3 linked regions of the Callithrix jacchus genome follow. The protein of the gene in region 1 purifies or fractionates together with the protein of each later gene. This does not show direct contact. Links are inferred from orthologs where the notes say so. Each region holds a gene or a part of one and is shown in the gene's direction. Other genes may lie near its edges. The genes, in order: ENO1, PARK7 and TPI1.

Region 1 (3,545 bases):
GATCCCTTTGACCAGGATGACTGGGGAGCATGGCAGAAGTTCACAGCCAGTGCAGGAATCCAGGTGGTGGGGGATGATCTCACAGTGACCAACCCGAAAAGGATTGCCAAGGCTGCAAATGAGAAGTCCTGCAACTGCCTGCTGCTCAAAGTGAACCAGATCGGCTCCGTGACCGAGTCCCTGCAGGCGTGAGTGTCTTCCCGGCCAGCAGCTTGCCCACAGCTGTAGCTTGTGAATCAGAAAAAGGGCCCTTTTGTTGCAGTGATGGGGAATCCTGTTGGCCAATATGTAGGGCACCCCGGAATTTCAACAGGTTTCGTGTTTGAACTCAGGAGCCTTTTTAATTGAAAAGTTGGGGTGGAGGCCAAGGCAGGAGGAGCTCAGGAGTTCAAGACCAGCCTGGGCAACATAGCATGATCCCATCTCTACAAACCAATTGAAAAAAAATAAGCCACAGCCGGGCGCAGTGGCTCACACCTGTAATCCCAGCACTTTGGGAGGCCAAGACGGGTGGATTAGGAGGTCAGGAGTTCAAGACCAACCTGGCCAACATGGTGAAAGCCCCATCTCTACTAAAAATACAAATATTAGCTAGGCACAGTGGCACACACCTTTAGTCCCAGCTACTTGGGAGGCTGAGGCAGGAGAATCACTTGAACCCAGGAAACAGAGGTTACAGTGAGCTGAGATCATGCCACTGTACTCCATCCTGGGTGGCAGAGCAAGACGCTGGCTCTAAAGTAAATATGCCGGGCGCAGTGGCTCAAGCCTATAGTCCCAGCACTTTGGAAGGCTGAGGCAGGTGGATTGCTTATGCCCAGGAGTTTGACACCACACTGGGCAACATAGTGAGAGTGTCTGTTTTTTAAATTAATGAGTTAAGCAGCCTAGGGTGTTGCACTGATGGCCTATTCCTGATTCCTTGTGGCTCTTGACACATGCCTTCATTTTACATGGAGATGGTGGTTGAGCGGTTGTATCTGTGAGGGGCTCTGTCAGGGATCACTAGTCTTTCTCCCATCAAGGGAGGCTGAACCCAGTGTTTGAACTATGACAAGCAGGCTGAGAAGGTCCTGGAGGTGGAAGAGTTCAGAGGAGGGTGAGAGTTGTCCTCTGCTCTTGACAAGCCCAGGCATGGAGAGTTTTAGCCACTGTTGGCCCTGCCGCTGCTCTCCTGCTGGCACTGAGGAATAATGGCATTGGGGTTTGTGGCACCAGAAAATGCACTCATGCTATCTTGGTTGTCTCTTGGCTTCCAGGTGCAAGTTGGCCCAGGCCAATGGTTGGGGCGTCATGGTGTCTCATCGTTCTGGGGAGACTGAAGATACCTTCATCGCCGACCTGGTGGTGGGGCTGTGCACTGGGCAGGTGAGAATGAGCGTCTCCTTTCTTCTCTCCAACCTCAACTTCCTAGGAATACCCAAAACCAGTGCTGCTCCTTGTCTGTCCTGTTTTCGCTCATTTCCCCTGAGTCACTGCCCTGGTTTCGGAGCCTGAACAGAACAGGGCCATGAGCGTCCTTCCGGTGTGATATGGACCCTCTTTCCTAGGGTCAGGTTTAGAAATTATCTCTGACATTATACCCTCTCCCTGCCAGAAATGCCCGTAAAGCCTGTCTGTCCCCTATAAGCGAATGGCCTTTCTTTTCTCCTAGATCAAGACTGGTGCCCCTTGCCGATCTGAGCGCTTGGCCAAGTACAACCAGCTCCTCAGGTAAGGGGGGCTGCTGAGAACAGGGACCTGCACTCAGAGTAGGCACTGCCCTTCCCCAGGGGCTTCTGGCTCTGGGAATGTGTATGGGTGCAGACGCACAGTGCAGACAGCCAGGCCCAGATCAGGCTTAGGTTCAGGCAGAGTTAGGCATAGACCCCGCACCCACCCAGTGCCATCAGAGGCAGGAGCCTGTTCCGCACAGTGCTGCCCTCTTCTGGTGAGGGAGGATGGGACCACCTTCAACAGTTCAGCCATGACCTTACAGCTTTCAGAGTGCCTTCATATGATCTGTTTCAGCCACTTAACCCCTGTTTTGTGGATGTGGAGCCACGGCTTGGAGGGAGGAAGAAAAAGCCAAAGGACACATGGCTGGGTTCACTCATCAGCGCTGCGCGGGCAGTGCTGATCTCCCTTTCCTATCTGTGTCCTTGGAAGGCCCCTGAACACTGGGAGACTTGCCCCCTTTTTTAGTTATTATTTCCTGGACTTGTAGGGAAACGGAACACCCATTCCTGAGTACTCCCTTATTACCCCTTCATTAAAACTGAATCCTGGGAATTTTCAGACATTCACAGAAAAGCAGGTGAACAGTAGACATGGGCTTTTTTGTTGTTTTGTTTGTTTGAGACAGGGTCTAACATCAAGATTCAAGCAGCACACACATTTTCTCTACTTCTGGAGTCTCAGAGCAGCACAGTGTAGAGGGTTTAAGAAGGTGGACAAACTGGAGAGTTCCAGGTTCTCAACTTCCCAGGAACTCCAGGAGGAGTGGGGCTGTGTCTTTGACATCTGGGGTGGGAAAACTTACAACTTGAAGACTAACTTTTCTTTTATCCTCCCCATCTCTTCCAAGAATTGAAGAGGAGCTGGGCAGCAAGGCCAAGTTTGCTGGCAGGAACTTCAGAAACCCCCTGGCCAAGTAAGCAGTGGGCAGGCCAGCCCTTCAGTCGCCTGTTGGCTAATTAGACTCCTCCCCTCTTGTCAGCTCGGGCAGCTCCAGGCCCCCCGACCAACACTTGCAGGGGTCCCTGCTAGTTAGCTCCCCTCGCCCACCACCATGGAGTTCGCACTGCTTGCTTAGAACTTCTACAGAAGCCAAGCTCCCTGGAGCCCACTTGGCAGCCCTAGCTTTGCAGTCATGTAATTGGCCCAAATCGTTGTTTTTCTCGCCTCACTTTCCACCAAGTGTCTGGAGCAATATGAACCTCCAGGGTCATATCCGGGGTGGCCACAGGCAAGATCACCAGTGGTTTTGTGCTCAAAATAAAAGGCATCAGTGAACCATGAGAATACCCTTTTTTGTGTGGCATGTGTATTTGGGACAGTCTGGGTCTTGTCCTTAGTGTTCAGGGGGCCTGCCAATAGGGAGTCAGCCTTTGAAAACTCTGTGCAGAGAACATTTTCCTGTGTCCTTGGGAAGAGAACTTCAGGCAAATGCAAGAGAGGAGACATGCGCTGTCCCCCTCCAAGGTAGTGGGGTCACAACAGGGAGTCTAAGCTCGGAGGCAGAGCGAGACTGTTCAGACAACTCATTTGGAAGAAAATTCAAATGCAGGCCTATGTGTTGATCATCTTAAAGATGGTAGCTACTGGGTTACATAACCATACTGTTCAGGCCAGAAGGACTCCATGGTAAATGTGACCATCTTGGGAAGCGCTAGGATGTGGGTCTCTTCCTGGGGAAAGCAAGTAAAGAAGGATTAAAAGGGAACTCTGGGCAGGAAGGTAGAAGGGCATCCAGAAGACCTCGGGACCCCATTTAAATTAATGAATTGCATTCCTTGGTTTCTCAAGCGTCAGGTTTCATGTACTCGGTAGCTGCCATTTGTAGC
Region 2 (4,188 bases), about 890 kb from region 1:
CAGCACTCCCACTACTGGGTATATATCAAAAAGAAAGGAATGGCTGGGAGCAATAGCTCATGCCTACAATCCCAGCACTTTGGGAGGCTGAGGAAGGCAGATCCCTTGAGGTGAGGAGTTCAAGGCAGGCTAACCAACATGGTAAAACCCTGTCTCTACTAAAAATACAAAAATTAGCCAGGTGTGGTGACACACGCCTGTAGTCTCAGCTACTCGGGAGGCTGAGGCACTAGAATTGTTTGAACCCACAGGCGGAGGTTGCAGTGAGCCCTGATGGTGCCACTGCACTCCAGCCTGGGTGACAGAGCAAGATGGAGAGTATTAAAAAACAAAACAAACCAAAACAGAATGGACATCAGTACATCAAAGAGATATCTGCACTCCCATGCTTATTGTAGCACTGTTCACAACAGCCAAAATATGGAATCAACAGAAGTGTTCATCAATGGATGAATGGATAAAGAAAACGTAAATATACACTATAGATTACTATTCAGCCATAAAAAATAATAAAATCCTATTTGCAACAACATTGATGGAACTGGAGGTCATTATGTTAAGTGAAACAAGCCAGGCAAAGAAAGGCAAGTATCAGCCAGGCACGGTGTCTCACGCCTGTAATCCCAGCACTTTGGGAGGCCAAGGCCGGTGGATCACCTGAGGTCATCAGGAGTTCGAGACCAGCCTGGCCAATATGACGAAACCCCATCTCTACTAAAAATACAAAAACTATCCAGGCGTATTGGCGCACGCCTATAATCCCAGGTACTCGGGAGCCTAAGGAAGAATCTCTGGAACCCGGGAGGTGGAGGTTGCAGTGGGCCAAGATCGCGCCACTGCACAAGGAAAAACGATGCTGAAAAAACAATGCTAAGGAAAAAAACACACACCCCTGAGACATCGGGTGTGAATAAATGCGCAGAGTCGCCCGAGATCCGGAGACCAGGCGTGGGGAGAGGCCCAGAGAGGCCTGGACAAGAGTCCTAACAGGCCACGGGCGAAACGGGAAGGCCCTCCAGGAAGGAGGAACAACGCAGAGGGAACAGAAGTAAACGCAGCGCGAACAAAGAAAGCCCTCTGCCGGCACATCGTGTGCCTCCGCCGCTCCAGAGACCCGCTCCTCATCCCCGGTGGCCGCGGAGACGGTTAGGCACTGCGGGCGCCCGGGCAGGCCAGACTGTGCCATTCGTAGAGGGTTCCATCCGGGTGCCAGCCGCCTCACTCAGTCCTGTTCAACTAGAAACTCCCCGGCACCACCCCCGCCTCGGTCCGAGGTAGGCTCGGCCGGACCTGACGCAGTGTGACGCCAAGGCGCGCGAGTCTGCGCAATGTGCGGCTGAGGGAGGCCGGGCGGCGCGCGTGCGTGCTGGAGCGCGTCCACCTTCGGCCTGGTATAGGGTGAGTGGTTCCCGACGGGCCGGGGTGCCGCGTCCGCAGGAAGAGGCGCGGGGTGCAGATCAGGGCCAGCGGGGGCGCGGCGCGTGTCTGGGCCGTGGCGCTTGGCGGCGTGGGGGCGCTGGACGGTGTCCCGCTGGGTCAGCCCTGGCGCGGGGCCTGGGTCTGGGCCGCCCTCGCCTCCGGCCTTCCAGTCGGGTCCTGTCGCTGGCGTTGGATTTGACTGACCGCCAGCGTGGTAGCAACGCTGAAGCGTCCAGAATCTTCTGCCTAACCTCTCGCCCAGCATGGAACTGGCTAATCCTGCTTGTTGAAACCGTTTTTATGAAACTCGTTTTGTTTTGCGTGGACGGTAAATCTCCAGATAACCTTAAATAGGCTAAAAAAAAAAAATTGAGAACCTCGTTGAGCTGCTGTCGTTTGCAGTGAGAACTTTGTGCACGGAGAGGCAGAATGAAGTTGGGTTAACATCAGTGAGGCGGATTTCCATCTTTCTCAGTCATAAAAAAAGTGTGTTCAGACATTTAACACCGTTGACCCCCCCACACACAATTTTTTAGTACGGTTATTGGAACTAAAAACAAAAATCCCCTCCAAAAAATTACAGGTTAATTGCAAAAGACCATATTTAAATTTTTGCCCATGAAATTCAGTTTAATCTTTTCTCTGAACTGATACTTCAGAGAAGACTGTCCGCCCGCATTGTGTGAAATGTGAGACCCACGTACTTGTATTTTAGAAAAGCCCATTTGCAATATATTATTAAAGTTGGATTTAAGAGAACATGGTAGAAAACTCTAAGCAACACTACACCTCGGAACGCCCTCACTGTGTTTTCTTCTCAAAACAATGAAAGCTTCTATGCAAATCAACCTTAACCTAAACTGCTGCTTTTATATTCAGTTGTCTGTCAGAACCATTTCCCTAGGAAGTACTTAATTCTGCTTGAAAACGTTCCTAAACTTTAAATGTTGTGGTATTCCAGGGTTGCCTTGAAAGTTTTTTGAAACTTTTTTTTTTAAGCCTTTAAAACATAAAAATGGCTTCCAAAAGAGCTCTGGTCATCCTGGCTAAAGGAGCGGAGGAAATGGAGACCGTCATCCCTGTAGATGTCATGAGGCGAGCTGGGGTAAGTCCCACACAGATTTCTAGCCATCCTGTTACATATTTTTGGATTTTTAAATCATTTCGAATAAAATAATATTCATAGTGCTTTGTGAAATATTACAACTATACACAAAATTTCAGAGATCTTAAGAATAAATACCTGTTGATCCACTGCCAACATTTAACACTTGTTAATGTCTTGACATATTTCCTTCAGACCCATTTCTTTTTTGTTTTGAGCTCTGTCGTCCAGGCTGGAGTGCAATGGCATGATCTTGGCTCATTTCAGCCCCTGCCTCCTCAGCTCAAACCATCTTCCCACCTCAGCCTCCCAAGTAGCTAGGACTACAGGTGCATGCTGCCACACCTGGCTAATTTTTGTATGTTTTCTAGAGACAGGGTTTCACCATGTTGCTCAGGCTGCTCTCCAACTCCTGAGCTCAAGTTATCCACCTGCCTCAGGCCTCCCAAAGTGTTAGGATTACATACGTGAGCCACCCCACTGTCCTCAGACCCGTTTCTTTCTTTCTTTCTTTTTTTTTTGAGATGGTGTCTCATTCTGTCGTCCAGGCTACAGTGCAGTGGCATGATCTCTACTCATTGCAACCTCTACTTCCCAGATTCAAGAGATTCTCCTGCCTCTGCTGCCTGAATAGCTGAGATTACAGGTGTCCACCACCATGCCCAGCTAATTTTTGTATTTTTAGTACAGATGGGGTTTCATCATGTTGGCCAGGTTGGTCTCAAACGCCAGGCCTCAAGTGACCCACCCGCCTCAGCCTTTCACAGTGCTGGGATTACAGGTGTGAGCCACCATGCCCGGCCCCTCAGCCTCATTTCTTAAAGAGCAATTGCTTCAAATAAATATATTTGAAGCCTTCTTTGTAAATTTCTCCAATCCTGTGCCCCTTCCTCCTTCCTTAAAGATAACTGCTCTCCTCGCACTATTGTGTATCCATCCATGCATGTCTTTAAGGTAGCAGTTGACTATGGTTCTCATTCTGAGTGTTTATATATTATCTCTCTATATCTAACAATAGTGAACACTGAAGTAGAACTCACTCTGTGCCAGGCATCATTCTAAGTGCTTATAAACCTTACAACATGAGTTAGGTATTGCCTGTGAGTTAGATATTGCCATCCTCATTTTATGATTGAAGAAACTGAGGCACAGAGACACTAAAATACCCACGTCACATAGTAAGTACAAAAGCGAGAACTCAGACCCAGGCAGTTTGGCCCTAGAGTCTGTTAACCCTATACTCCTCTGGTTCTCACAAATGAAGATACATGTCAATTCAGTTTATTCATTTAAAATTGCTGCTTGGTGTTGCACTCAATGCCACAATCTACCCATTCCTCTAATTACAGCATTACAGTTCTGTAATAATTGTTCTTGTGTAGGTTTTCTTGCGCAAATGTGTGGAAGTTTTTCCACGTTATATATCTAAAAGTAGAATTACTAGGTCGAAGGATGGCCCCTAGTCAGCATGATTAGGTTTTGCCAAGTTGCTCTCCAGTGTCCCAGTTTGGAGTCCCACCAGCAGTGTAGGAAAATTCCCACTTTCCCAGTGCCAGCTCATTAAAATTTTTTGAAAGATAAAGTAGTATTTCAATATTTTGACTTGCATTTCTGTCTTACAAAAATACCATGAGGTTTAAATGGCAATAGTAAACTTGCAAGAT
Region 3 (4,010 bases), on another chromosome or scaffold:
CCGGACAGAGTGGAGGGGCAGCGATAGACTCTGGGGATGGAGCAGGAAGGGGACCGGAGGGGCTGGCCACCTGTCTGTAGGGAGACTTTGTTGCTTCCCCTGCCCCTGGAATCCACAGTGCTCTGCTTCTCTGTGTCGCCCTGCCCAGCACCCTGGTGTGGAGGGAGGGGTCTCGTTTGTGCGCGTGGGTGTAGCTTTGTGCATCCTCTCCCAGGGGAGGGAGCACCTGTGCCTCCCCCACCTGTTTGCCCCTGTGTGGTTGGTCAAAGAGGGATATGAGGGAAATGGGGACCCCCACCCCTTGCCCTCCTTACTCAGTCTTTCCCCCACCCTGTTTCTTCCTTGTCCTTCTCTGGAAAATGCCAAAATACATGATGTGAATAAAACTACAACAGCTAAAATTGTGTCCTGTTTGATACCTTGGGAGAGGCTTACCTTCTCGAGGTTAGCAAGAGGGCCGGTTAGCAGAGGGGCATTTCAGAAAACCCCCCTAGCTCTGCCGCCTCTTCCCCATAGGCAGGTCTCCACTCCAGTCGTTCTAGAGTTCTTGGGAAATCGGGGTTGGGTGGGGAAGTGGAGTCGAGTGACTAAATGCTGGCACAAAGCTGAAGAAAGATGGGATGAAGAGCCCTTGCCTCTAGTCACACAGGAGCCCCAGTATTTCCCAAATGTCCCTAGGGGCTAGCCGGCTTCAGTCTGGGTCTCAGTCCCTGCAGTTCCTGCCAGGCCTTGGCCAGCCGGGGCGAGGGTTGGGATACTCCTGGCGGCCTATACCTCTCTGGACTGCCCCTCCCGCTCGGAACCCTGCATTTGCCCTGCAAATCGACTCAGGTAGACTCCCTGGGTACAAGGTGCTTACTCAGCAGTCGGGCTTCAGCTGCTCCGACGGGGGAAGGGGGTTCTCTATCCCACTGATGGAGAGGGGCCCTCTCTGCCCCAGTGAGCGATTTGGGCCACGGGCCAGGTTGCCACGAGCTACCTCCGTCGAACCACTTCTGGCCCCGTGGGGGACTCAAGTCGCCAAGCGAGAGCTCACAGGTGTCGCCATGTCCCAAAAGCCCCGCAATCGTGGCAGAGGCGACCGAGACCCCGACGCCCCTAGAACGTTGCCAACAAGAAGGGGGAACGTCAGAACAGTGCCACGCCGGGCGGCGGCCGGGTGGCGGCAGGAGGGCGGGCGAGGGGCAGGGCTCCGGGGGACCGGGCGGGCCATGGCGGAGGACGGCGAGGAGGCGGAGTTCCACTTCGCGGCGCTCTATATAAGCGGGCAGTGGCCGCGGCTGCGCGCTGACACTGACCTTCAGTGCCTCGGTTCCAGCGCCATGGCTCCCTCCAGGAAGTTCTTCGTCGGTGGGAACTGGAAGATGAACGGGAGGAAGCAGAATCTGGGGGAGCTCATCGGCACTCTGAACGCGGCCAAGGTGCCGGGAGACACCGGTAAGCCCCCGCTGGGGAGGGGCCGGGCCGGGGCCTGGGCTGGAGTGGCAGCGCGCTCTCCCGAGACCCTGAGTCCGGTGTCCGCGTGGACCTGATGCAGGGCTGCGGGACGAGGGTCGCTGGGGTTCCGGCAGGGGCCCCGCAGCCGCAGCCCTGTCGGTGCGTCGAGGGGGTAGGGCGGAGCACGTGATGCCCCTTTGGACTGTGGGGGAGGAAAAGGCGTTTTGGGTCTCTGGGAGGAAGGTGGCCCCAGGGCGCGCACTGGGGCTGTGCCCGATAGGCGCCGGGATTAGGAGCGGAGCCCGAGGCTTTGCGGGCGACCGGGAGAGGCTGACCGCAGCCGCCGGGGTCGGGGAGGAGGCTGGGCTGCGTGGGCTTCCCGCTACCTGCCCCACGGCCTCCGGCGCCGTGCGCCGCCGCACGTAGCCCCAGACTCCTCCCCCGCCTCGCCTGCGGCGGAGTCCCAGTGTCTAGCTGCTCGGGGCCCATGAGCCCCCAGCTCTGACCCCTTCCATTCAGCAGCCTGAGCGACTCCTGCCTTCCACGGAAGGAACCGAGCTGGTGCCAAACAGGCTGAGCGATCTGGGAGTGAGGAGCCATCCTACCGCTTTCCCCAACCTGGAAACGAGAACGCTCCAGGCCTCTGAGTCAGTTAGCTCTGCCCCACCCACGGGCAAAGGATGCTCTCCTCCATCTTCCCTCTTACCCCCAACCGAAATCAGAGAACCTCGGGCCTAATCCAAAGAGGCATCCCCTTCTCGTTCATTCCCCAAAGGCCCCAGAGGCCCCCATACAGTCCCCAGGAGTTGGCCCCTTCTCCTTTTGCTACAAATCCTTGCCTTGTAAAGGGGAGGTGAGGATGGGCTATTTTAGAAGGGGGCAGGGTTGGCCCCTAGAGAATGCTGAGTCTGGGAGGTTCCTATGCCCAGAATAGCTCGAGGAAATTGGAGCCACAGCTGTTAAAAGAGCAGAGGGCAGGGTAAGGGCCGTGGCCTCTCAGGGGTACTTGGAAGGCTCTGCCAGTTGAGCGCAGGCCCAGCCTGACTGGGAAGTGGGCAGAGGTCATCTTGCTGGGGTGAAAAGCAGGGGAGAGTAGAACCAAGAAGAGGCTGAGGGCACTGGTCAGGAGTTGTGGCGAATGAAGGCTTTCTTTAGTCTCATCCCACTGTGGGACTCTCTTGTCCTCAGAGGTGGTTTGTGCTCCCCCCACTGCCTATATCGACTTCGCCCGGCAGAAGCTAGATCCCAAGATTGCTGTGGCTGCGCAGAACTGCTACAAAGTGTCTAACGGGGCCTTTACTGGGGAGATCAGGTGAGATGGAGGTGGAGAGGGTGTGAAGGGAAAGCCACTGGTGGGCTCCCTGCTGAGCCTTGGCTTCCTCTCTTCTTTAGCCCTGGCATGATCAAAGACTGCGGAGCCACATGGGTGGTCCTGGGGCACTCAGAGAGAAGGCATGTCTTCGGGGAGTCAGATGAGGTTAGTAGCCAAGAGAGGAGATAAGGGATGTATTTTTCCAAGAAGGATGTCTCACCAAGTCTGTTTTTCAACAGCTGATTGGGCAGAAAGTGGCCCATGCTCTGGCAGAGGGACTCGGAGTAATCGCCTGCATTGGGGAGAAGCTAGATGAAAGGGAAGCTGGCATCACTGAGAAGGTTGTTTTCGAGCAGACAAAGGTCATCGCAGGTATCTCTGGAGAAAGGGACCTTTGAACCTAGCCAGGGCCACAGAGACTCAGAGGGTAGGGTCAGGCCCTGGAGCATGTCTTGGTCCCCATGCTGATCCAGAAAAGGAAAAGGGGGAGGGGGAGTGAGCATCCTTGCTTGGTACCTATCACTTCTCCAGCCCCCAAGGTAGATGCCACCTGGAAATCCCCCAATGACCACTAGGGGGCAGTAGGCCACCATTCTTTATACTCTGGGGAATCTGTCTGGACAGCTCCTTCCTGTCCACCCTTCCCTCCAACTGTGATCTCTGCCCTGCAGATAATGTGAAGGACTGGAGCAAGGTCGTCCTGGCCTATGAGCCTGTGTGGGCCATTGGCACGGGCAAGACTGCAACACCCCAACAGGTAGGTAACTGAGCCCAGGAGCCCTGCTCTCATCCCAGCCTGCCACAGGTTTGGACAGACCGACCACCTAGGCCAACCCCTTATTTTAAAGACAGGGAAACCTTGAGCCCAGAGACAGTGACTTGTCCAAGGGCATCCATTCCATGGCCTGGCTTGGATCTGAGCCTTGGTACTCAGACTCAGACTCAGAAACCATACTAAGTGTCCACTGGTGCCACTGATTTTCCCTTTTAGAGAGGCAGAAAAGATAAGGCTAGCTTCTTGTTCTAGGCCCAGGAAGTACACGAGAAGCTCCGAGGGTGGCTTAAGTCCAATGTCTCTGATGCAGTGGCTCAGAGCACCCGTATCATTTATGGAGGTGAGTGGCTTTGCTTCGCGGCTGAGGTGGAGTGGGCTGAGGGCAAGACTGAGCCCTGGGACATGGAGGTGGGGTAGGGCTACTCATCCCATCCTTGACCAAGCCCTTGTTCTGCTCCCTTCCCAGGCTCTGTGACCGGGGCAACC

What was found.
Region 2: the proteins of ENO1 (region 1) and PARK7 fractionate together in Homo sapiens (co-fractionation; 3 studies listed by BioGRID). This does not show direct contact. The link is inferred for Callithrix jacchus from reciprocal best matches to the Homo sapiens genes ENO1 and PARK7.
Region 3: the proteins of ENO1 (region 1) and TPI1 fractionate together in Homo sapiens (co-fractionation; 4 studies listed by BioGRID, with this or other methods). This does not show direct contact. The link is inferred for Callithrix jacchus from reciprocal best matches to the Homo sapiens genes ENO1 and TPI1.

The regions. Positions count from the first base shown.
Region 1 is NC_133508.1:46,727,854-46,731,398, reverse strand, and holds the end of ENO1 (alpha-enolase), read left to right. Parts: coding exon 1-188; intron 189-1,259; coding exon 1,260-1,368; intron 1,369-1,654; coding exon 1,655-1,713; intron 1,714-2,566; coding exon 2,567-2,636; 3' UTR 2,637-3,003; downstream 3,004-3,545. UniProt on the Homo sapiens protein: Glycolytic enzyme the catalyzes the conversion of 2-phosphoglycerate to phosphoenolpyruvate. In addition to glycolysis, involved in various processes such as growth control, hypoxia tolerance and allergic responses.
Region 2 is NC_133508.1:45,840,817-45,845,004, forward strand, and holds the start of PARK7 (Parkinson disease protein 7), read left to right. Parts: upstream 1-1,327; 5' UTR 1,328-1,398; exon of another isoform or gene 1,399-1,905; intron 1,906-2,380; 5' UTR 2,381-2,434; coding exon 2,435-2,524; intron 2,525-4,188. UniProt on the Homo sapiens protein: Multifunctional protein with controversial molecular function which plays an important role in cell protection against oxidative stress and cell death acting as oxidative stress sensor and redox-sensitive chaperone and protease.
Region 3 is NC_133510.1:21,142,133-21,146,142, forward strand, and holds the start of TPI1 (triosephosphate isomerase), read left to right. Parts: upstream 1-1,194; 5' UTR 1,195-1,211; coding exon 1,212-1,437; intron 1,438-2,625; coding exon 2,626-2,749; intron 2,750-2,829; coding exon 2,830-2,914; intron 2,915-2,988; coding exon 2,989-3,121; intron 3,122-3,420; coding exon 3,421-3,506; intron 3,507-3,776; coding exon 3,777-3,864; intron 3,865-3,990; coding exon 3,991-4,010. UniProt on the Homo sapiens protein: Triosephosphate isomerase is an extremely efficient metabolic enzyme that catalyzes the interconversion between dihydroxyacetone phosphate (DHAP) and D-glyceraldehyde-3-phosphate (G3P) in glycolysis and gluconeogenesis.